Rhinolophus ferrumequinum: one gene and its partners. Each later gene encodes a partner of the first gene's protein in a complex. Links are inferred from orthologs where the notes say so. Each region holds a gene or a part of one and is shown in the gene's direction. Other genes may lie near its edges. The genes, in order: ODAD1, ODAD4 and CLXN.

What was found.
Region 2: ODAD1 (region 1) and ODAD4 share a complex: the UniProt entries of both Homo sapiens proteins name them as parts of the outer dynein arm-docking complex. The link is inferred for Rhinolophus ferrumequinum from reciprocal best matches to the Homo sapiens genes ODAD1 and ODAD4.
Region 3: ODAD1 (region 1) and CLXN share a complex: the UniProt entries of both Homo sapiens proteins name them as parts of the outer dynein arm-docking complex. The link is inferred for Rhinolophus ferrumequinum from reciprocal best matches to the Homo sapiens genes ODAD1 and CLXN.

The regions. Positions count from the first base shown.
Region 1 is NC_046298.1:43,909,832-43,917,772, reverse strand, and holds the start of ODAD1 (outer dynein arm-docking complex subunit 1), read left to right. Parts: upstream 1-4,674; 5' UTR 4,675-5,409; exon of another isoform or gene 5,410-5,458; intron 5,459-5,681; exon of another isoform or gene 5,682-5,780; 5' UTR 5,781-5,837; intron 5,838-6,156; 5' UTR 6,157-6,201; coding exon 6,202-6,271; intron 6,272-6,762; exon of another isoform or gene 6,763-6,781; intron 6,782-7,157; exon of another isoform or gene 7,158-7,240; intron 7,241-7,477; coding exon 7,478-7,577; intron 7,578-7,735; coding exon 7,736-7,925; intron 7,926-7,941. Other genes in the region: EMP3 (epithelial membrane protein 3), read right to left, coding at 715-817, 1,059-1,136. UniProt on the Homo sapiens protein: Component of the outer dynein arm-docking complex (ODA-DC) that mediates outer dynein arms (ODA) binding onto the doublet microtubule. Involved in mediating assembly of both ODAs and their axonemal docking complex onto ciliary microtubules.
Region 2 is NC_046304.1:37,834,142-37,842,223, forward strand, and holds the start of ODAD4 (outer dynein arm-docking complex subunit 4), read left to right. Parts: upstream 1-4,835; 5' UTR 4,836-5,024; coding exon 5,025-5,138; intron 5,139-6,840; coding exon 6,841-6,972; intron 6,973-7,226; coding exon 7,227-7,377; intron 7,378-8,076; coding exon 8,077-8,082. UniProt on the Homo sapiens protein: Component of the outer dynein arm-docking complex (ODA-DC) that mediates outer dynein arms (ODA) binding onto the doublet microtubule. Plays an essential role for the assembly of ODA-DC and for the docking of ODA in ciliary axoneme.
Region 3 is NC_046297.1:29,220,544-29,228,325, reverse strand, and holds the start of CLXN (calaxin), read left to right. Parts: upstream 1-4,540; 5' UTR 4,541-4,637; coding exon 4,638-4,695; intron 4,696-7,782. UniProt on the Homo sapiens protein: Component of the outer dynein arm-docking complex (ODA-DC) that mediates outer dynein arms (ODA) binding onto the doublet microtubule. Seems to regulate the assembly of both ODAs and their axonemal docking complex onto ciliary microtubules.

The DNA.
Region 1 (7,941 bases):
TAGATTTTTTAGGATTTTCTACATAAACCCACTGGGAATAGAGACTTTTTTTTTTTTTTTACACTTCTTCCTTTTCCATCCTTATGCCATTTATTTATTTTTCTTGCCTTGTTGCATTGGCTACCTCCAGTACAACACGGAATAGAAGTGGTGAGAACAGAAATTGTTGTTTCACTCTTAGGGGAAAAGCATTTCATGTTTCACCTTCTCCCACTCAGACATTTCGATGGACGCAACTCCTCCCCTCTAGAACTCAGATGCATCTGTCACCCTCACCCCTCCTTTAGAACCTTGAAAGGATTCAACCCCATCTCTTTAGAAATTCAATGTGATTCCAGCCCCACCCCCTTGGAACTTGGACAACTTGGTCGCAGTCTTTCATTCGGAACACCAGTTCTATCTCCTTAGAACTTTGGACACATAATCCTATCTTCTCAGAATCTTGGGAGCTTTCTCCTCATTCCTTAAGCCTATAGAATGTGGCCTCCACTCTTTCTGGACCATAAGGGAGGAGGGCTTTTAGCTCATACTCTTTAGAATAGGAGCATATTGCTGCCCACCACCAAGATAGGTGGGTCATACATCAGTCCTACTCACTCAGCATTGAGACCCAGATCTGCCAACTCAAACCTTGGCAGAGTCCCAATCCTTGGTCCCAGGAGGAGACTTGGGGTTACCCCTCCCCTTTGCAGACCAGTCCCCAATGCCCCTCACCATTCTCGCTGACATTAATGCAGGTCCACGTTTTGTTGTCATTGGTCCACATGCAGTCATACCAGAGATTCAGGGACTCCTTCCCTGGGAGGGTCCACCAGGACTGGCATGGACAGAGAAACGGGTAGGGATATGAGAGGAAAGTGGGAGTGGTCAGGGAGTCTGTGGGAAGGGTGAGGAAAAGGGTTTAGCAGGAAAGGGGGAGGAGGTCAGGGCATCAGAGGCAGAGCTGAGAGGGGTAGATGGCAGGGGAAAGGGGTCGGGCTGGAGTGACTTTAGAGGAGGGGCGTGTGGGGAGTCTGCAGGAGAGCGGAGGCCCTGTTGCTGCTGCTCCATGGGCTTACCTTGTCCAAAGTGGCCACGAAAAGCAGGATGAGAATGAGGATGTGAAGGGCAGAGACCACCAGCAGGAGGAGTGACATGGCTGCAGTGGAAGCCTGGGGTAGGGGACATCAGGATATGGTCGTTTCAAGAGGTTGGCACAGGGGCAGGTGAGATGCCCGAATCCTCTTGGAGAATGGGGGCTGAGTCCAGACTCCTGGGTTGGAGGGAGGAGGGGGCTGAGGGCCCGGACTCCTGAATTCCCCAGGGGCTGGAGAGGGTCAGGGATGGACTCTTGGGTCCAGGAATGAGTAGGACTAGCAATGTCTCAGAGGACTAGCATCTCCTCAGAGTCCTATCCCTGGGTGCATATGGATCAGGCTCTGAAAATTCAAGTGGACACCCCTCCAGATTCATCAGAAGCTAAGGGCTGTCCCCAGAGACAGGCATCCTTGACTCACCCCACCCCTCTCCTAGGGTGAGGGGGGGTGAGGAAGATGGGGTGAGTCATTGGTGACTCATCCCACTCTTGACTCCAAGTACCAGGGAAACCCCAGCCCCTGGCTGCCCACGAGATCCCCACCCCACCCTGCTGCCAGACTTGTGCCTGCTGGGCACCTTGTGGCAAAAATGGATGAGATGCCTGTTGGGAGGAGAGAGGCCTGAGAAGGAGCCAGCCTCCTACTACCCTTCAGTGAACAGAAGGGGAAGGGGCCTGGAGGTTCCCCAGACTTCGGGTGTTCTCATGCAAAGCCCTGATCTCCGGGTTCTCAAGGGAGAGTGGACAGCTGTGGGGGAAAACTACAGGATATTTTCAGGTGGAGGGCTCTGTTGGGAACCCCCAAACTTTGCCGGGCCCCACCCCTTCCTGAATCCCCACCCAAGTGCTAAGAGATCACTTCTGAAATTACAAGGATTTCCATAGGGGTGTCCTTCCCAAACAGCTGCACTCCCAAGTAAATAAAGAAATCCCAGTTCGGATAACGGACTGGAAACTTACCGAGAGCAGCGGAAAAAGTCAGAGTTGGAGTCTGTTCCTCGCTTGGGCCTCCGTGCCCCGCCCTTCTCCTCCCTCCTTCCACCCTCTCGAGGCCCCCGCCTCCCTCGCTGCCTTCCTCCCTCCCGCACTCTCCTCTCTGGCCCTCTCAGTCCTTCTCCCTTCCAATCCTGGAACCCTTTCTCTCTTTCTCTTTCTCCCTCTCCCTCTCTTTCTCCCTCTCCCTCTCCCTCTCCCTCTCTTTCTCCCTCTCCTTCTCCCTCTCCCTTTCCTTCTCCCTCTCTCTCTCCCTTCCCCTCTCCCCCTCTTCCCCTTCCACCCTTTTCTCTCCCTCCCTCCCTCTCTCCCTTCCTTCCTCTCTCTTTCTTCTACCTCTTGTCTCTCTCTCCTGTCCTATTCCCCTGTCTTTCACTCTTCTCACTTTCCTGGTTTTTCTTCCTCTGTTCCTCTGAATATATACTGACCCTTTTATACCCACCCTCACCGCACCCAGCTGAGGTCTGCAGCTAGAGGGAGGGCCCAGGCACTTGGGTTCTTCATTCTTTGAGCCCCCGCCCACTGCCCCCAGACACGTATCGTTTCTGCGTTTTCCTCCCAGGGTTGAGATGAGAAGTCCTTGGAGGGAACAGAGCAGAGCAGTACCCTGGGGTGGGGCAAGCATCGGGGTGGGAGGGTCCAAGTCTCAGGCCTCTGCTCTGGGTCTTGTCCTGGGACCTGGGGTCTGATGTCTGCATTCCTTGATGGGGTTTAGGACTGGATACTCAGGGATGAGAGTCTGAGGGAGGAGGCCAGATTCCTGCCATGTGGAGTAGGCTGAAGACTGGTGAAATTGGTACCATGGTGGGTGTCAGTGGATGGGAAATGGGGAAGTGTGAACTCTAAAGGGGGCAGGAGGTGGAAGTTAAGAATCCCAGCGCCAGTATTTCCTGCCCTGGGAACCTTGACCAATTCTGTCAACTTACTGAGCCTCAGTTTCCTAATTTGTGAGGTGGGTATAATAATACGAATAATGACAATATACTAATACTGATAATAATAAGTCTGATACTTATTCTAAATGAATAAGGTAATACCAGTACATTAACACACTTAACACATTCAGTTCTTTCTTCATCAGACATTTATTGAACATCTATTAAATAGGAGTTAATAATAAAGAAAACAGAATGTGACCCTACTGTTACTGTGGAGCTTACCTACCTAGTAGAGGGAGACAGAATAAAGAGAAAACATATCAATGAAGAAGACAAATTTCAGATAGCGATAAGGGCCTTGAAAGAAACAAAACAGAGTGACAGAGATAGTGAGTGTGTGTGTGTGGAACCTACTTTAAACGGAGTAGTCAGACTAGGCCTCTCAGAGGAGTGATATCTGAGCTGAGACCTGAAGACAGGGAAGAGGAACCTCGTGCAAAGGCTCTTGAGAACAAACTCAGGTTGTTTGGAGAGCAGACAGAAGGGCCAGTGTGGCTGGAATACAGGGAGTTAGAAGGAGTGGAAGGAAGGGAAATCAAAGAGGGCCCTTGAAGACTAGGGGAGGAGTTTGGACTAATTTATTCTAAGTGCAGTGGGAAGCCATTGGAAGGTTTTAAACAGAAGTACAGTACCAGGGATCTAATGTTAACTATTATTATTGTCAATTTGGGGGTTATTGAATTAGGGTGGGGGGTGATGACTAGTATGTACCTGGGTTTCTTGGAAGAGCTGAATGCTGGTGAATAGTGAGGGACAGGGGACCAGGTGTCTGGGGTCCTGATATGGAATCTGAGAGCTGGCAGACTAAAATTCTGGGTCCCTGCAAAGGAAGGGAACTGGACCATGGCAAGTCTGGGTATCTGATGGTCCCAGAGCTGGGGGCGGGAGAATGGTTGGTTATGTGGATTCCCAGAGGGGGTGAGGAATAGGCAGTTTAGTGACTGGGTGGGTACTTACGAAGACCAGAAAGCTGGGGTACCTATAGCACAAAAGCTAGAGACACACTGGCTGGATTCAAATCCAAGCTGCTTTACTCTGATTTGGGGCAAGTTACTAATAATCTCTCTATGGTTCATTTTCTCTATCTGTAAAATAGGGATAATAATAGTGAACGCATCAGGGAAGTTGAGTAGTGCCTCGTACAGCGTAAGCACTGCTGTATGTGCTAGTTATACTAGGCATTGGGGCCCTGGGTGGGTTCTGTACTGGGGGACCCTAGATTAAGGTCTCTAGGATTTGGGGAAGGGGCAAATTCTTCGGTCCATTGGGTCCCAAGACTAAAAAGTTGGGAGTACAAAATGAGAGTCCCTGTTTTGGGGAGTATGTGGGTAGTCACAAACTTAAGTCTTTGAGCAGGACAGAAGCTGGGGGTCTAGACTCAGAACCCCAAGGAAGATAGAAAGTCTGGGTCACAGAAGGAAAAACTAGGGACTAGAGGGTCACTGCTTTTCAGGGAGTGCAGGCAAAGGGAGGCCAGCCCCCCTCCCCTAACTGATCCGCGGAGGAGTCTAGGTTAGGGAGATGGAAATTTGAGCGGGGTAGGTGGAGAATAGGAGAGCAGGACTCTGAATCAAGTTCCCTGAGTGGTATTAGCGCCCTGGTATTCGTACCCTGGGGATGTTCAGGGGGGTCTCCCATTTAGGGCCCTGTGATGGCGGAGCATCAGAGGCCCCGAGAGCAGAGGTGGGATCTCCCCTTCTTGGGCCTCCAACGCTACGAGCTTAGCGGAGCGCCTCGCGGGCGGTTTCCTCCCACAGGAAACCACAGGCGTTGGGCACACCCAGCCTGCAGGGAGGAGCGCCTACTGCCCGCCGACTCCGGGGAGGCCCAAGTGGGCAGCAGCCGACCACTAAAGGGGCGAGGAGGTGTGGTCAGACAGGGGCGTGACCGGAAGGCGGGGGCGGTGCGAGGAGCCGGGTGCCCCGCCCACTTCCGCCTCTCAGTCTGCGGACTCCGTGGGCAGCGAAGGGATTTTTCGTGCCTTAAGAGGCCGTTGGCCGCGCATGCGTAGTGAGGTGCTGGGAGGACCTGAGGCGGTGGTGAGCATTACTCCCCCTCACAAGTCCCGGCGCCGGCACCGCCTTCCTGCTAATGAAGCCTCAAAATAACGTGGTCCTAAGATACGCTTCTCTCCGGCCCTTCCCGAAGGACCTCGGTCTTCCAGATGTTTTGCTCTCAACCTTGCCTCCAATTCCCGGAAACACAGCCCGATCCTCGCAGGCCCGTGTTCCCCTTGCAGCCCCTCCCGACCGCCCGCAGGCCTTTCCAGCTAGAGTGCCTCCTGGTTAGCCCCGCCCCCACAAGTCTTGGGAACCACGGTCCTTCCAGCGCCCTCCCAGCGGACTCCTCACGCGCTCTTCCAGCCACGCCCCTCCTTGGCCCAAGAAACCCCGCCCTCCTCAGGTATCCGTGCTCCTCCCCTCGAGAGTCCCCGCAGCCCCGCCCTTCACAGGTACCGGTGATTTCCCCAGCCCCAAACCTCACAGACCCTTCCGGCTCCGCCCTTTACAGATCTCCGAGCCCTTCCCTCGCAAACCTCGAAGGCCGGATTATAGCGGGCCCTTCTAGTCCCGCCCCTTATAGGGCCACAGCCCCACCCCTCACAGGGCTCCCCAACAGTTCTGTTTAAAGCCGGGGGGGGGGGCTGGTGGTGGGGGTGGGGGTGGGGGCGGGGATCCGAGCAGGTATTCTCGCCGCCGCCTCCGCCACTCCTCCCCAGCCTCCCCTCCCACAGCCTCTCTTCGCGGCCTCGATCCCTCCCCTTATCTCCCCAGTAACCAGACCACAACAGTGAGCTAGGAGCGCCAAGGACAGGGCAAGCACTCCAGCAGGTAGGGAAGGGGCCTCGTTCCCTACAGCGGTCCTTCCTCTGTGATCCCTTCCCCAAACCGCCCCCTTCAGAGATACCGAGAGCCTAAGGGACCTGTCCCCCCGCGCCAGAATCAGAGCCAAGATGCAAGACAGAGAATGTGAGAGGTGGGAGGTTGGAAGGAGTGTGGGGAGAGGCCAGAGAAGTGTCCCCCCTCCAACCCATTGGGGGAATTGAGACTCAGAGAGAGGCCAGAGCTGATTTTGGGGTCGTCTTCCAATTCCTAATCCCTCTGTGCATTGCCCACCTCCTCCCCGCCCTCTCCTGCTTGCTGTCTGAAGGGGTCCTGTGTTACCGCTGCAGGAGTCCCACCCTCTTTGGGAAAGATGCCTTCAGGATTCTCTGCAGGGAACAACCGCTCCGAGAATGGCAGCGAGGCCTACCTCGAGGGAATGGGTAATTCATACGATCTTTTATTTCACTCATTCTTTTTCTTTATCTCATTCTTTTTGTCAGGGTTCCCAATTCCAGGTCCTGTGCTTCAGAGCCATGGGAACAAGGTGGTCTTCTAGGAGAGCCTTCTAGTGGGGAGCACAAGTGTGGGAATGGACGTGGAGGGAGGCATATGGGTGGGCCAAGACTTACTGCAGGACAAGCTTGAGTGGGGCCCAGAACTCCTCCCTGGAATCACCAAGGGGTAAAGAAAGGGGAGAGTGTTTCAACAGAGAGAACAGCACGTGGCTAGAGCAGGGTTTGTCAATCTCCGCACTGTTGACACGTGGGGGTCAGGTAATCCTTTGTTATGGGGACTGTTCTGTGCCTTGTAGGATATCTAACAGCATCCCTGGCCTCTACCTACTACAGGCCAGTAGCACCCTCTGCACCTCCGCTACCTGCCCCACATTGTGACAACCAAAAATGCCTCCAGACAATGCCAGATGCTCATGGGGGATAGAATAGCTCCAGGTTGAGAACCATTGGGCTGTGGGAGGTGGGGAGCTGGTGGAGACTTGGAGAAGTGGATAGTCAGGTCCTACAGGGCATTGAACACCAGGCTGAGGAGTTGAGACTGTCCTGGGGGCGCTGGGGCGCCAGGGAAGGCCTGGGAGCCGGGAAGGGCCAGAGTCCGCTCCGAGTGTAGAAGGAGCCCCTGGGGCTGTGAGGGGAGGCTGGGAGGTTGGGGAGAAGGCTGGAGTGATAGTCCAGGCAAGAGTGGATGAAGCCTCAGCCTAGGAGAGGGCCTGAGAGTGAGGAGCAGGAGGGTGGGACTGAGGATGGCTCAGCAGCTGGGGGTGAGGGGGAAGGAGGGAGCAAGACTGCTGATTTGGTCCCCTGTCTTCAGCTTTCCCAAGTTCCAGGTCCTGTGCAGTGGATCCTTGAGGACCATGAGGCCCTCCAGGAGCGCCCTCTAGTGGGGAAACAGATGTATGCCCAAACCGGAGAAGGAGTGGGTTTTAGGGAGGAAATCTCAAGGTTAGCAAGGGGTACCTTGCTAAGGGATGAGGAAGTTTGAGGCAGTCCTAGAGGGGTGTTGGGGACTGGGTCTGCAGTTCAGTTGCAGCTTGTGAGACCCTAAGGGAGCTAGGATTCCTACCTAGGTCCTAGGGAGGAAGGGGCTGGGCCTGGATTCCTATTGAGTCCCTTGCCTGGTCTGTCCTTCAGTGGACTGGGAGCTGAGCAGATTGCTGCGGCAGTGCAAAGTGATGGAGGGTGAAAGGCGGGCCTACAGCAAGGAAGTCCACCAGCGCATCAATAAGCAACTGTGAGCCGAGTGCCTGGGTCTCAGAACTGGAAGGGGGCTGTTGAAGGGTTGGGGGTCAGACTCGGGTCTGAAGCTGGGGCAGGCCCAGTGTATCTGGCCTTTAGTGATGCTGACCTTTGCCCCTTGCTGGCCTCCCCTCCTCCTCCCTGCCTGGGCAGTGAGGAGATCCACCGCCTAGAGGAGGTGCGGGACAAACTTCAGGTGCAGATCAGCGTCGCCCAGAGCCAGGTCAAGCGGCTGCAGGACAATGAGAGGCTGAAGAACATGGGCCGCTTGCTGAAGTGCCAGGCCCAGGTGCAGGCCGAGGTCAAGGAGCTGCAGGAGCAGGCCAGGACCCTGGACAGGCAGGTGGGTTCTGAGACCA
Region 2 (8,082 bases), on another chromosome or scaffold:
GGCCGCAGCCAGCAGGGGCTCTTGGACACAGAATGTACTATTGTGCTGAACTGGCAGCACCCCATGGGGTGGGGAGGAAAGTGGTGGGTAAGAAGGGGACGCCAGAAAAAAAAAACACCCAAAAACAAAACGCTGATGTTGAGTAAAAGAAAGTGGAACATAGAAAATATATAGTATGATTCAATTCACAATTTACATAGAGTTAAAAAACCAAACCTAAATTATATTACTTAGAATGGATACACAGGTGGAAAAACTACAAGAAAAGCAAGGCAATGATTATCACAAAGAACTGGACCATGGTTCTTTCATTCAACACGTATTTGCTGAGTACCTGCAATGTGCCAGTTACTATTCTGGGCACTGGAGCAAAAAAGTTGAATGAAATAAGGAAATATGCTCACCCATGAGTAGCTTACCAATCCATAACCAGTAGCAATAACCAATCCATAAAATAAATAAGGAAGTTATTTAGTGTATCAGAAAGTTTGTGTTACATAAAAAACAGCAGAGTAGGGGATCAGGAATTCCCGAATGGAAGATAAAAGGCAAGTGGGTTGCAGTTTTAAATAGGGTGGTCAGGGTAGCCTCATTGCAAAGGATTTGAGCAAAATACATGAAGGAGGGGAGAGGGTCAGTTAAGTGGCTGAGAAGGAGCGTTCCAGGCCAATTCCAGGCCATTTGGGGCTGAGAGAACACCCAGAGCAAAGGCCCTAGGGAGGAGTTTTCTGCCCTTTTCCTCTTCAACGAGGTAAGGTGGCTGGAGGACAGATGATGGGGAGAGCAGCTTTTATTTTGAGTGAATGGGGGACCATTGCAAGGTTTTGAACAGAATGACATGATCTGACTTGCATTTTACATGGAATAATTCTGACTGCTGTGTGGTGGAGGAAGGAGGTAAGGGTGGAACAAGGAGATCTAGTTAAAAGCATATGGAGGGAATTCCAGAGAGAGATGATGGGGGCTCAGACCAAGGGTGGTAACCAGGAGGGGGGGTGGTTGCCTGGGGAGGGAGGTGGCGGTGCTGGGCTGGGGCTGTGATTTGGGGAGGCCTCACAGGAAGAGCCTCTGTTGACAATATGTTTCTTTTTTAAAAAAATTTTAATTTATTTTAAGTGTGTTTTTCCAGGACCCATCAGCTCCAAGTCAAGTAGTTGTTTCAATCTAGTTGTGGAGGGCGCAGCTCACCACTGGCCCATGTGGGGATTGAACCAGCAACCTTGCTGTTTAAGAGCACCGCGCTCTAACCAACTGGGCTAAACCAGCTGCCCCCGACAATATGTTTCTTGACTTACCTGTATGATGATTACATGGGTGTTCATTTTATAATTATGTATTAAATTGTACATGTGATTTTTATGTGTGTTTCTGTAACCTGTGGTCCACTTCAGCAGTAAAAAAGATACAAAGAGTGTAACATAAAGAGCCAGCTGGGATAGGCTCAGATCCAATTCCAGAGCTTTTTACCCTACCAATCCAACCCAAGGCATGGGTCCCAGCTCAGATCACCTATATCCTGGTGCTGTGTGGCTTAGGGCAAACCCTGACACCTCTCTCAGCCTTAGTGAAACCAGAAAAACACTGCCTGACTCCCGTCCTCACTCGAGTGTGGTGAAGATTACAAGTGCTTTATACACTGCAAAAGCACACATTATTATTGTTATTTCATTGTTTTTTAAAAAACAGTTTATCAATGTATATTGATGTACAATAAACTACATATTCAAACTATACAATTTGATGAGTTTTAATGCATGGATACATCATGAAAACATTACCAGAATCAAGATGATGTACAGACCTTACACCTCCTAGTCTCCTTTTACTCCTTTATATTCTTTCCTGCCCTGCCCTATTGCCATGTTCTCAAGAGGCACCATTTGCTTTGGGGTAATAAAGATTAAGTTTGCATTTCCTAGAATTTTACATAAAGGGAATAATATGGTCCTTTTTGTCTGAATTCTTTCAGTCAGCATAATTATTTTGAGATTTATTCATATTATGCATGTATCAATAGTTCTTTCCTTTTTATTGCTGAATAGTATCCATTATACGGATATATAACAATTTTTTCATCCATTCACCTGTTCAACAGATATGTTTGCAGTTTAGGGCTATGACAGATAAAGCTGCTACCGGTAGCAATATTCCCATACAGGTTTGATTTCTGTTGGATAAATTCCTAGGAGTAAAATGCCTGGGACATATGTTTAACTTTTTAAGAAGCTGCCAAACTGTTTCCCAAGTGGCTATAGTCAACAGTGTATGAGAGTTCCAGTTGCTCAACATCCTTGCCAGCTGCTGATGAGGTCAGTTTTTTATTTATTTTAACCATTCTAATGCATGAGTAGTGGTGTCTCACTGTGGCTTGTAATTTGTATTTTCCTAATGCTAATGATGTCAGAATCTTTCCTGTGTTCATTGGCATCTATATATCTTCTTTGATGAAGTAACTGTTCAATCATTTGGTCATTTTTAAAATTTGAGTTACCTGTCTTATTTTAGTTGTAAGAGCTTTTTATGTATTATAGACACACGTTCTTTGTCAGATACATGTTTTGCAAATATTTTACCCCCAATCTATGGCTTGCCTTTTAATTTTCTTAACACTGTCTCTTGAAGAGCAATGAATTTTAATTTTGATGACATCACCCTTTTTAATTTTTCGTGTTTCCCGTGCCCTAATATTTTCACCTAGTTTTGTAATTTTACCCCTTACATTTAAGTCTTTTGAGTTAATTTTTGTATATGATGTGAAGTAAAGGTCAAGGTATTTTCATTTGTTTGTTTTGTTTTGGCATATGGCTATCCAATTACTCCAGCACCATTTATTTGTTGACAAAATTGAATTTCCCTATTGAATTTCCTTGGTGACTTTGCTCAACATTAATTGATCATATACATGTAAATGTATTTCTGGACTCTCTATTCTGTTCCACTGACCTATATGTTGATCTTTATGCTAATACCATTACTGTAGTTTTACAATAAGTCTTGAAAGCAGAGAGTATACCTTCTCTTTGTCCTTTTTCAAAATTGTTTTGGCTATTCTATGTCAGTACTTTGCATTTTTACATAAATTTTAGAATCAGCTTGTCAATTATTAAAAAAAAAAACGTCTGCTGGGATTTTCACTGGGATTGCATTGGATCTATAGCTTTTCTCTTTGCAGTGTTTTTTTTTTTTTTTCCCAATTAACTGCTGGTCACTTCAGCAGTGTGTTCAACTAACCTATGCACCCCTCTTAACAACCTAGAACAGGACACATTTCACTCCAGTGCATTTCACTCCACTGCTCCTTACATGCCTTATGAACGAACTTACACACGTCTGACCTTCGCTCACCTCCTTGTCTACTTAGGTCTTTCAGCGCCCACCCTATTCACACTCAGCTCAAATGTTACCCCATCTGTGAAGCTGTGTCTGACGCATCCCAAATCCTAACTGGAGCATTCTGAGCCTCACACCACTCTGTCCTCATGTCCCTCACAGGCACACAGAACTTTGAGTAACTTAATACCACGTTAGATCGTCATTACTGTTCATGCATCTCTCTCCCTAATTAGACAGAACCCTTCCAGGGAAGGAACCATGTTATTTGTTTATCTTGGTATTAAAGAAGCATTCTTCTTTTAATTCAACCTTTTATTTTACGATAATTGTAGGTTCATATGCAGTTGTAAGAAATAATACAAAGAGATCCCATGTACCCTTTACCCAGTTTCCCCCAATGGGAACATCTTGTAAAACTTTAGTACAACACAACCAAAAGTTGACAGTGACACAATCCACTAATCTTATTCAGATTCCCTGAGTTCTACATGTACTCATGGTTGTGTATATGTGCGTGTAGTCAAGGATACCTTACTACTAGTTAAACTTTAACAATGATTTATTTAGCTCCTACTCTTGCCAGACAGTTGAATTCTGTAAATACAAGTTCCCTGCCTTAGTACGGTCTGATGGTTAGCACCTTGGCACTGGAGTTTGAGTGCATGGGATTCAATCTTTCCTCTGCTACTTGCTAGTTCAGTGATCTTGGGCATGTTACCCAACTTTATCAGTTTCCTTATGTATAAAATCAAGAAATAACAGTACTTTTCCCATAGGCTTGTACTGTGCTTAGCAGTGTGCCTGGTATCCTAAAACAGCACTCAATTCCTTTAGGGTGAGGTGGAGCAATTTATGCTAAGGTTAGGTATAACGATATTAGCTATTTACTGACCACCTTCCATGAGCAACTGTGTGCCTGACACTTCACTTCTGCAAGCAGCCATAATATAGGTCACATGTTTTAAAAGTAATGTAGTAAAGGCAGGGTGTTTTGGAACCTAGAAGAACCTATTCCACCTTTTTTTTTTTTTTTTTGAGGCTGGGAGGAGATAGGGGAAAATATCAGGAAAGACGTTGATCCAGGCCTGCCACTAGCAGGCACTCATTAAATGGGTTAAATCGAAGGCTGAATCCAACGTTATTTTCCACATTGTCTCATGCAAACTCTCACATTCAGAAGGTTTTATTACCTTCACGTTCACTTCGCAGTTGGAAAATTAAAGGCTCAGAGCCCTTCCATGCCAGCCTACAGTCACGCAATTAGGGAGTGAAGACTGTCCAAGTACTACTCCGGCTCCAAGCCCAGTGCTCTCTCCCTCTGATGGTGGTACACGCGGTGCACATATCCTTGCCATATGCGCCTTATCCCTGTTTGGAATTCTGCCCCCAATCCTCTTCCTATTTTCTTGGCTGTAAACTCTGCACAAGATTCAACTACGGAGAGAATCAATGGAACATGCAACAGCCAACACTGTGAAACACCGCCGCCTTAAACCCATCCAACACGCTCTAGCGGCACCGCTGCCAGCGCACGCTGGCGGCGGTTGTTCCCCTCCCCCGCACGATCGAGCAGCAGGACCGGAAGTAGGTCACGTCTCCTGGTTGCTAAGAGACTGGGCTTCCACAAACCAGAGGTTCTCTGGCTTCTTTTCCTACCTTTCTCCACTTCAGCGTCTCTGAATCTCGTCATCATGTCGGACCCAGAAACTGAAGTCTTGCGAAGCACCTTTCCCTCTTACATGGCGGAGGGCGAGCGGCTTTATCTCTGCGGGGAGTTCTCTAAAGCCGCTCTTAGCTTCAGCAATGTGAGTCACTCTGAACCTGTCACCCATCACCACTTTGGATTTCTGAACCGAGGTCCTGATGATGCATGGAGGACCCTATCATTTCTATTATTCACTTGTTCCTGATTGATGCACCACTGTGACAGATAAGCCCCCCCCCCCCCCCGAGCCATTTTCTTCCAATTCCCACTTGCGTTCTGCCTGATCCTTAATAACCCACCATTCTGTGCATTAACAATGACCTCTTCTACTTTTTTACTCAAATGTTTGGTGCTTGGCTGGCCTTCTTCCACAGAGCAGCCTCTACTTCCTGTCATTGGCAGGGAGATTGGGTGGGACACTCCTTGACGAAGTGAAGTGTCTGGCACACAGTTACTCATGGAAGGTGATCAGTAAATAACTAACATTATACATAACCTTAGTATAAATTGCTCCACCCCACCCTAAGGTGATTGAGTTCTGTTTTAAGATACTACGTACTGGTAAGCGCATTACAAACCTATGGGAGAAGTACTGCTATTGCTCAACTTTATAGATAAGGAAACTGATAAAATTGAGTAACATGCCCAAGATCACTGAACTAGCAAGTGGCAGAGGCAAGATTCAACCCCAGGCACTCAGACTCCAGTGCTGAGACGCAAACCATGGACTGTACTCTCCATAAGTAAGCTATTAGATGTTCATGTAACAATGTCTTTTACAACAAATAGCTCGCTTCTTATTCCAACTGGAGTGGCAGAATAGCTCTCTTATCAGCCCCAAGACTCTTGCTAAAGTCAAGCTTCTCAATTGCTACCCAGAGTCTTTTATCCCTCAGATCATCCACCACACTAAAACCAGAAATGACTGACCAGATGAGTCAACAATTGGGGTTTAGGAGCCCTGCCCCTACCCACTCCCCTCTCTCTGGATTATGTTCTATGTTCCATCCCGAGAACCTCAGACAGAGAGAAAAAAACACCCTGAGGGAAGATAGCTTAGAAGTGGCCTTTTTCCATGACAGTAAGTAGCTATTTTCTTTTCCTGGAAAGGTAAGGGAGGTCTTAGAAAGGGGTCGATACAGCCCAGGCGTCAGGAAGGACACTGCTCCACAGACTGTGGTAATGATCTCAAACAGGAGGACAGAGGACATGCGGAGTAGGGAAGCATTCTGCTCCCACTTTTGGGCCCAAATCAGTTTCAGTTTTGCTAGCATTCTCATCTTAACCCCCTGAAATAGTGATTCATTCTCCATACACTATGTAAAAGGAGGGCTAGTGGCATGGCTAACTCAAGTTGCAGATTGTCCTAAAATCTGTTTTGTCAGCCTTCATAATGCTTAGCCTTTGGATTGTATTTTGAGTGTGTTGTGCAGCTATTTCAGGTTTGTAGTTGAACTTGGTGTGCACCAAACGTACTCTATTGTCTGAGTGAACTGCAGGAATCCCAGACACTCGGGGAAATTCAGTACGTCCACAGAGTAGCATGTTCTCATATCTCAACGAGTGGCTTCCACAAAGCTTGTGATTTGACCTTGTTCAAGATGAGCCACTTACAGATAATCCAGTTGACTAAGCAAAGATCGATATTGGGCTGCTTTTGGTCTGATAAGATCCAAAGACCTGTTTATACTGCCCCAAGGAGTCCGCTTGAAACTCTGGCAGGAGGGTTTGGGCTGCTATTTCCAGTCCAGTTCTACCTAACCCTGCCTGGTACCTGTCAACCTGAGTGGTTCCTTTCTCAGGCTCTTCACATTCAGAATGGAGATAAGAACTGCCTGGTTGCCCGCTCCAAGTGCTTCCTGAAGATGGGAGAGTTGGAGAAATCCCTGAAGGATGCTGAGGCTTCACTCCAGAGTGACCCAACTTTCTGCAAGGTGACTGTATGGGTGGAGGACTCCTTCTTGCTTTCACCGCTGCCACTGTCTGCAGCAGCCTCTGGTTAGAAGTGGTAGAAGAACTAGCCAGACTGCTTAGAGTTTGATGCCATTTTCTCTTCATAGGTCACTTGCCTAGATCCCTGCCTCTGTATTCCAACCTTGACCCTCAACCCAGGACCCTTCTATTCCACCACACCTGAGTCCTGTAAGGTCTCATCTGTCCACCTCAACTGGACTTCCTCTCATTTCAGGGGATTTTGCAAAAGGCTGAGACCCTGTATACCATGGGAGACTTTGAGTTTGCCTTGGTGTTCTATCATCGAGGCTATAAGCTGCGGCCTGATCGGGAATTCAAAGTGGGAATTCAGAAAGCCCAGGAAGCCATCAACAACTCAGTGGGAAGTGAGTGACCATGGAGCCTATGTTGTTATCCAGGAAGTCTCTTGGAATACCTTAGGTTTGGAGGAAGGCCTGAGATGCCTTGGGTGAACACCCAGCAGGAGGCCTGCAGGGAGTCCCATGCTTGGATTTGGCTGCTGCTGGTTTTGTTGAGGATTAGGAGCTGTCCACTGGGGGGACCGATCCCCCACCCACTGGTCTGAGCACTGCAGTGTCTGGTTCTCCTCAAAGCCAGATGGGCATCTGCTGCCTCACCACAAGCTATTTTTTTATATATATATATTTTTGGCCTGGTGTCATAGGATAGAATGGAGTCCTGAGCCTAGCTCTCCCTAGTCTCTGGCTTCCTCCCTGACTGCCTGTGCACCAAGGGCTGGCCTTACCTATCAGCTCATTGGCAGTGGGGAGGAGGAAGGAGAGCCAGAGCTTGTCAGAGGGCAGCAGAGTATGGAAATGGCATGGGTTAGAGAGCTCCCCTCGTTTGGAGATCTGGCTGCCTTAGACTCGTGGGGGCTGCTACCTCCTACAGAAGTATTGCTCCAAACATCCTGTACCATTTATTTGCCTGTCAGACTGGCTCAGAGCCTGCTTTGCAACAACCTCTACCACCCCCCTACCAACGGTAGCCATTTCCACATAAAAATATGTGATAGGTCATGCCAAGGACCTGGATGACCTGAGCCCCCACTTCTGTCCTTGCAGGTCCTT
Region 3 (7,782 bases), on another chromosome or scaffold:
TGGCTGCTGGAGCTCCTGCTATTAAATGGAGAGGAGCTGGTGAGAGAAGAGGCTTACAAGCCAGGCAGAGGCCAGGTCCTAGAAAATGGTGGAAACCATGCTGTGAGGCTTAAATATTATCTTGCAGGCATCAAGAAGGCATTTAAATATCAAGCAGAAGGAAGACAGGGCTGGGTTTGTGTTTTAGCTAAATCACTGGCAATCATTTGGATGGCTTAAAACATGAGACAGAGGACGAAGTCTGATGCAGGAGCTAGGTAAGGGCAAAGAGAATGGATAAAACAGGAGGTGCAGCAGTGGAGGTAATGAACATGACCACACTTTGTGAGACGGTAGATGAGAAGAAAAGATAAAGCTAATATACTGAAAAGGTGACACAAGATCAAGAGGGTTTTGACTTCCTTCAGGCTGTGAGTGAGTAGGTATGAGAAAATAGGTAGCCTTTTCTTTTGAACAGCTACAGAAGAAGCAGTATCTTCAGGGGAGAAGCAGATTTCAGAGAAGAAAGGTGGAGAGACGGCTTTGTGCAAAGATGGACCATGTAAGGTAAGTGTTCACAACTGAAAAGGAGTTGGTTGTGTATGGTTAAAAGGGGTTAGAGAGATCTAGACTAAGAAATAGTCTCACAAGGTGGTAAGCTTATTGGAGAAAGGCAATTCTGAGAGCTTTCTGTTCCTCTGAGTAATCAAAAACAATGGAAATGGGGAATGTGGTTATAAGAGTGTGGTCTCAATATTTGGACTGGTACAGGCCTTCTTCTGCTCAGTGTTGGCTCAGGGGGCAATTCCAGACATGGTCTGAGAGGATAAGCTTGGTTCAGTTCTGTGTAGAAGGTGTGTGACAGCTGCAGAGAGCTATGATTAGCGTTAGAATGCTAGCAGGTGCTCTGGGCTCCCTTGGAAAGGGACAGGTATCTACTGCCCCTGTGGTAGTTATGCAGATAGGGCAGTTGCCATGACCTAATTCTGGGCACCCATGACCCAGTACTGAATGGGGAGGAGCTCAGTGGGTTCTGCAGGATTTCTTGGTGAGCTCCTCAAGACCTGGAGGAGCAGCTTACTTACTCAACCCACTGACATTATTGCCATCACCATATTACTTATCACCTGCCACATCTTAATTTACAACTTTGTAAATTACATGTATGATATAAAAACCCTATCTCTAGTAAACCTTAGGCATTACTGTACTTACCAGTCAATAGATTATGGTTTTAAAAATTATATAGAAATGTGTTAACACCAGTGAATATTGAGGATATATTTTTGGAAAAGCTCTTCTTTAGTACGAAGCCCCATCTAAAGGCACTGTTATGTTCACAGGGGTTCTCCACAATGGGGTGCTGTGGGGGGGCAGGAAACTTGGGTATCATCTCTGCTCGGGTGATTTTTCCACCACTCTCCCTAACACAGATAATAGAAAGTGGATTGTGTTGTCAAACTTTAGAAGTAGAGAAAGATAGGTGATGGATACAGAGATACAAAAAGACTTAAATGTACCAAGAGAGTGAGTGAGAGTGAGAAAGGCAGAGAAAGATGATGGGGTATGGAGGGATTCACTTTATATAGGGAAGTCAAAAATGCTTTGAATAGTTGCCTTTGAGGATGGGTGGAGAATATGTAGAAGTCTGGGAGTGAGACAACTGGGTGGTTAGAGGTACTAAAAGCAGCTTGTCACTTCAGCATAACAGCCAAAGGGGAAAGTGGCAAGAGAGCAGTGGAGATTCAACTACTAAATAGTTGGCTAAAATCACGTCAGATTTCTCATCACTATCTCTACAAAATAAAATTGGTAACATTGAATTTAAATTATGTGTATAACTTTTATATTTTTCCTTTTGTTAAAGTAATTTCATAATAGATTTGTAATATACTTGGAAATCAATTCTATGATGTTATGTCCTAAACACTTCCAAATACCTTTATCATAAAAGGTCTACATTAAATAAAACACTTTCATCAATTCAAGGTCAAAGTTATTTATGGTAAAATTCCAATTAATTATAAATCAAAGGGAATATTGTTTTGCACACAAAATTAAAGGAAACATTTATAGCATTAATAGTCACTTTTATGTACTTTTTTTGGTACTAGTTTTACTTACAAAAGTATCCAGCTCAAAGTTGTTTGAATTTTGGAAAGTTCTATGATCAATTCATGCACAGCAAAATTTGTGTACAGTAGAAATTAAACAGTTTTTTTATTTTATTATTCCACTGTTGATTGATTTGATATGAGGTAACTGTTCTGGCTTAATTGCTTACTCTGAAAGAGCCCTTAGGGGAAAGATATCCTGTGTCTTCTCAACACAAGCAATTAAAAACTACAAATAGAAATTTCAATTTGCCTTGAAATGAGATTGGCCAACTTTATCAGGCCTATAGCTTGTTGCTAAAGTCTAAAAATACTAAATTCAAAAACGTCATAAGATTGTAAGGAATGCTGTAAAATTTACCAATATATTGACAAAACATGTCCTTAATAAATATCTTTCTTTCCCTGAGAAGGATTTGCAAGACCTTATAGGGAGGTTAACTCTGTAGCCCACTCTCTTAGAGAAGTGAGTTTCATATAACATTGTATTTGGAAATTTTCTGCTAAAAGAATAGCATGGAAAAAAGAACTTGGAGAGAGGGAAGAATGGGAGGAGGGCACCTCACAATGTTTTATTTGCAGGTTAAGGAATTTTTGCCTGATAGAACAGATTTGACTCTTTTAATTTCAACCTTCTGTGGTATTGTCCTTACTTCATTTTTTCCCCTTTAAGGGAACATCGCTGATGGGTCATAGGCTTGAAACCTGTGAATTAAGAACTGATTAGTTCACCCCTAGGTGCTCAACAAGCTCCCAGTGTATGATGTTTGCAGGGATGCCCGGACAGGCCCATCAATGTCCTCCCCACCAGTGGAGTACTGCTCCCCAAGACATGCCAGCAGAAAGTCCCTTCAGAAAACCTAGTAGGAGGGAGCTTCTTAAAAGACCTACCAGCAGAGGCATATGGAGCCCACAGCTTCTCTTGTTAACTAGTGACAACCACTCTTTCGGTTCCGTGTCTTTTGAAATGAGCACTAGTAACAATCTCTATGAATTAAATATTTGCTAGAATTCTGTAATCTAAAAAAAGCTACTAGAGTTTCACAGGTGAGTATAATTAGAATATGTCCACTCCTTCCCATTTGTTCTCTACAATCTCATTAGAAATGTCACAGCTGCTAGACAGGAGGGCATAGAGGAATACTATTTAACCAGAAAACTGTTGGAAACTCATAATCACTATCATTTCACGTTGCTTAACTATTCTCAGGGAATTTGCTTTAGGATAATATTGTCCCTGCCTTCACCAAGTATCTTTGACTATAGTTTCAAACACCATCTCAATCTTTCATTCAACAAACAATTGAAACAGGAAAGAAAATCAGAGACCTCAACACTGGAAATATTTCATTCTGTATTTCTTCACAGTTGGCAATTTTTTTTTCTATTTTCAGTCTAATGATGACAATATGTAAGCTATAAAGTAATTTGTATTCAAAGGTATTTTCCCCTCTGAAGTTAAACAAGTAAATACATGAGAGAATACTATAGGTTTTGTACTCCTGGCTGAGCTAACTCCTTCTATGGCTGTCCTAATTCAAAGAGGATGTTAGATCTGTGGTTAAAAAAAGCAGAAATTCCTCCCACATTTAAGTTGTAAGAACTATCCTTTGTTTGCAGTCACAGGACCTGTCTTTCAAATAAGTAAAGGATCAATTTTATTGGGATATTTTCCAGAAAAGCAAGATTGGACTGTACCCCATGACCAAGTGGCCTGTCTATTTAGGAGGATCTCTCTTTAACTAGCTTAAAAATTGCCAGTGGCTTTTCACAGATTCCACTGACAGCCTCTACCCCTACCCCCAAGAATGAATGGAGGGAAAAAACAAACAAAAAATACAACAGCTTCCAAGTTATTCTTGCTTACAGTAACATCACCCAAAACTTAAATATATCTTGTTTCAGACTCCCTTCTGGTGTCATAGCAAAAGGACTGACAACCAAAAGAGAAGCTCAGCCCTAATAGCAAGCTCCTCACCCTCCTGTACCTGATAAAACAATTGTTTGGATAACACACCTGCTAATTCTTGAAGCTCCTCCAAGTTCCCCCAGATCTCCCTGAAGATCAATCTTAAGCTTCCCTTGGTGTAACATCCACCACGAAAAACATAATTCACACAGCACTCACGATGTATTTTTAGACCTTGATGATGCACAGTGCAGTCCATGAAAGAGGCCGTGAAACCAAAAGACAGCAACAACTGAAAGTTAGAACTCCAGCGTCAATCAGAACATACTTCTGCAATGTGCCTGGCCAGGACCCTCCAAATGGGAATGCTTACCCCCGCCCCAGGAGCCAATAGGCGGCCGGCCCAGCCGTTGCCATGGCCACGCAGTATGTTGGGGATACGCAAACACCCCGCGCACGCCCAGGAGCCAATCAACGGCGCGCTGAGGAGTTGCCATAGCTGCTCTGTGTGTTGGCGCCGCGCAGGCACTCAGCTGTGGAGATCCGGTTGGTTGCCCCAGGCCCAGTACTCGGGAGGGTCCCGGCAGCTGCGCTCCCCTAGACACTGCCACAGCCCGATTCATTGAGGTCCCGGCATGAATCGCAAGAAGCTGCAGAAGTTGACGGACACATTAACTAAAAATTGCAAGCATTGTAAGTAAGAATCACGTGTGGGATGAGCAGAGGCTCTGGTGTTCTACCCGGTGACAATGTCCACTGCTCAACCTGCTTTCCGCCTCCAAGCCTTACTGCCAGTTGAACCCCCTCCATACCCACCCCTAAAAAGAAGTCTGGAAAGAAATACCCAGGTGTTAGCTCCTTGGGGCGGACACCCATGCTTGCCAATGACCTTGAAAGCCCATATCCAGGTGTCCAGGTATCTAGTAGTGCATTCCCACAAGTACATTTACTTTTCAAGCTCTCTTCTTAATTTACCTTTACATTATAGAAACTTGGTTTATGTATCCAGGAGACACATGTGGTTTTAGCCTTTAGAATAAGTGCTAAAAACCACGGACTCAAGAAAAGTACCACAACCAATATACAGCTGCGTTCTAGCTCTCTAGAGCAAATAAACTGGCAGGATACAAGTTCTGGTCACCTACCAAGAAATCCATAGGGAAAATGGTTAGTAATATCTGAACATCTTTAGGAAAGAAACCTATATCAGAGCAAGGAGGTTTGTTTGGAAACCAAAGAACTCACCAAAGCTAAACACGTGGTAAAGAATCTGTTCCTAACTGTAGACTTCCACTTTCCAGTTGCTGGTGGGGTTGCAAGGTAAAGAAGACTTTGCAAGTGACAAAATGAGCACTGATTAAAGACATCTGCTCCAATTGCATATTCTAAAATGTGGTCCTAGATTTTCATAGAACGGTATTCAGACTGAATACCAAAACTGTACCTGGACAGAGAAGCTAAGGATGTGGTTTAGATGAGGAAAATATTGTCACATGAGCAAGTTCATAAATTGTGTGCTGCTTGCAAAACTACTGGCCACTTGAAGAAACAGGAGAAACATAATCCCAAGACCACCCCAACATTGTGCAAAGAAGGAGGAACAGACATGTTTTAATGTAGTTCTAGAGATTACAGTATCTAGTGCCTTCTGATCATATTTAGTATCTAATGCAATGAGTGTTAAAAATGCTCTTCTAGTGGAGTGGTGCTGTAAATGAAAGTTATAGTGTGTATAAGCATCTTAAACTTTGAGGGGGAAAAAAGGCATCCTATAATTGAAGGCATTGTTGTTATTATAATCTGATGAGAGTTTTGTTCCATTGTTGTTTTTCTTAAAATAATTCCATTTCTGGGAAAAGACCAGACCTTTCTAAAATATCTAGTAAACATTTTGAATACACAATGCAATAACTGCTATACACAATGCTGAATTTAATTTAGTCCCTGTTCAATAACTTTGGAATATATTGCAACAGACATTCTGTGAACAATCAAAGTGAGTGTATTAAAAGATAAGTGACAATATGGCAGGAAAAGCAGTCATACTGCTTTTCATACTTACATCAAAGTTTTTCATACTTATGCTTTTCATACTTACATAAAAGTTTTAAAGTGAGCCTTCAAAACTTTGATGATTACCAGTTAAATTCTATAGACATAGAATAGAAAGTCATGGACATTAAAATAATTTAAAATTTCTTTAAACAGAGGACCTTTCCCCTAAAGTCATATCTTAGTTGCCAAATGACAATCCCACTAGGATGAAATGGATAAATTTTATAGAATCAGAGAAGAAGAAAATATCTTACGTGATTATCTAGTTAATCCACCATTCTATAGATATGATCTAAAGAACAAACTGAAACCCATCCAAAAAGATGAAAAGCCATTCTTGAATTTTCCTCAATTTCATTTAGTATTGTATTCTAGAATTTAAGAAACATTTCAGCAAGAAAATTTTCTTATGGTTAACCTTGGATCCTTTGGATAATTAAGCTAATATTCTTTAATTTTTATTTCAGCCGAGATGGAAAAAGACTATTCAACATCCCCTTTGCTAGCATTTCATATATATGAATAGAGTGCATCATTCTTCATGCAGGCTTTTCTTCCCCAACCAGTAACAGCTCTTTTTACTTTTAGAACTTTTTAAAATTGTGGTTAAATACACATAACATAAAATATACTATTTTAACCATTTTAAGTGTACAACTGTATGGCATTCAGCACATTTACATTGTTGCACAGCTGTTACCACCATCCATTTCCAGATCTTGTCATCTCTCCCAACTAAAACTCTGTACCCATTAAACTATAACTCCCCATTTTCCCCTTCCAGCAACCCCTGGCAACCACCATTCTACTTCCTGTCACTATGAATTTCACCACTGTAGGTACATCATGTAAATGAAATCATGCAATATTTGTCCTTTTTTGTCTGACTTATTTTTCTCATCATAATGTCTTCAAGGTTCATTCATGTTGTAGCATATATCAAAATTTCCTTCATTTTTAAGGCTGAATAATATTCATTGTATATATACACCAAATTTTGTTTATGCATTCATCTGTCAATGAACACCTGGGTTGCTTCCACGTTTTGGCTACTGTGAATAATGCTGCTGTGAACACTGGTGTACAAGTATCTGAGCCCGCACTTTCAATACTTTTGGGCATATAACCAGAAGTGGAATCCCTGGATTACATAGTATTCTGTGTTTAATTTTTTGAGGAACTGATATACCATTTGCCACAGCAACTAACAGCTCTTTTAAAAATTATAGTCATTATACTCTTGTCTACTATTTAATCAATTTATTTACTTTCCAAAGTTTTCAATGTTCCTCTTACATTGTGGTACCCCAAATAAGAAATCGTACTCAAGCCTGTTCTGGTCAGTAGGATTAGATGTGATTTCTCCTTTCTTATGTTCTGTCTTCATTTACATGCACACAGGTTCCATCCTTGTTTTTAAAAATATTCAACCACAATTTTGTCTTTTTGTGAAATAAAATCATCCCCATCTTTTACCTATAATTCATATTTAAACTCACTTTAATGCTCTTAATGCTAAGCAATAACCCTTCTACTTACATACCTCAATTGGGGATTGGAAAACAAATAATTAGCTCAGTGTTTGTAAATACCAACCTTCATGCAATTATGTGTGTGAGCAAATGTGTACTTGTGCCTATATTCTTTCAATGAAAACTTTTTTTCTCCAAAGTACGACTGAATAGTTGCATATAAATATTCACATCATCTACAACAGTGGCACAA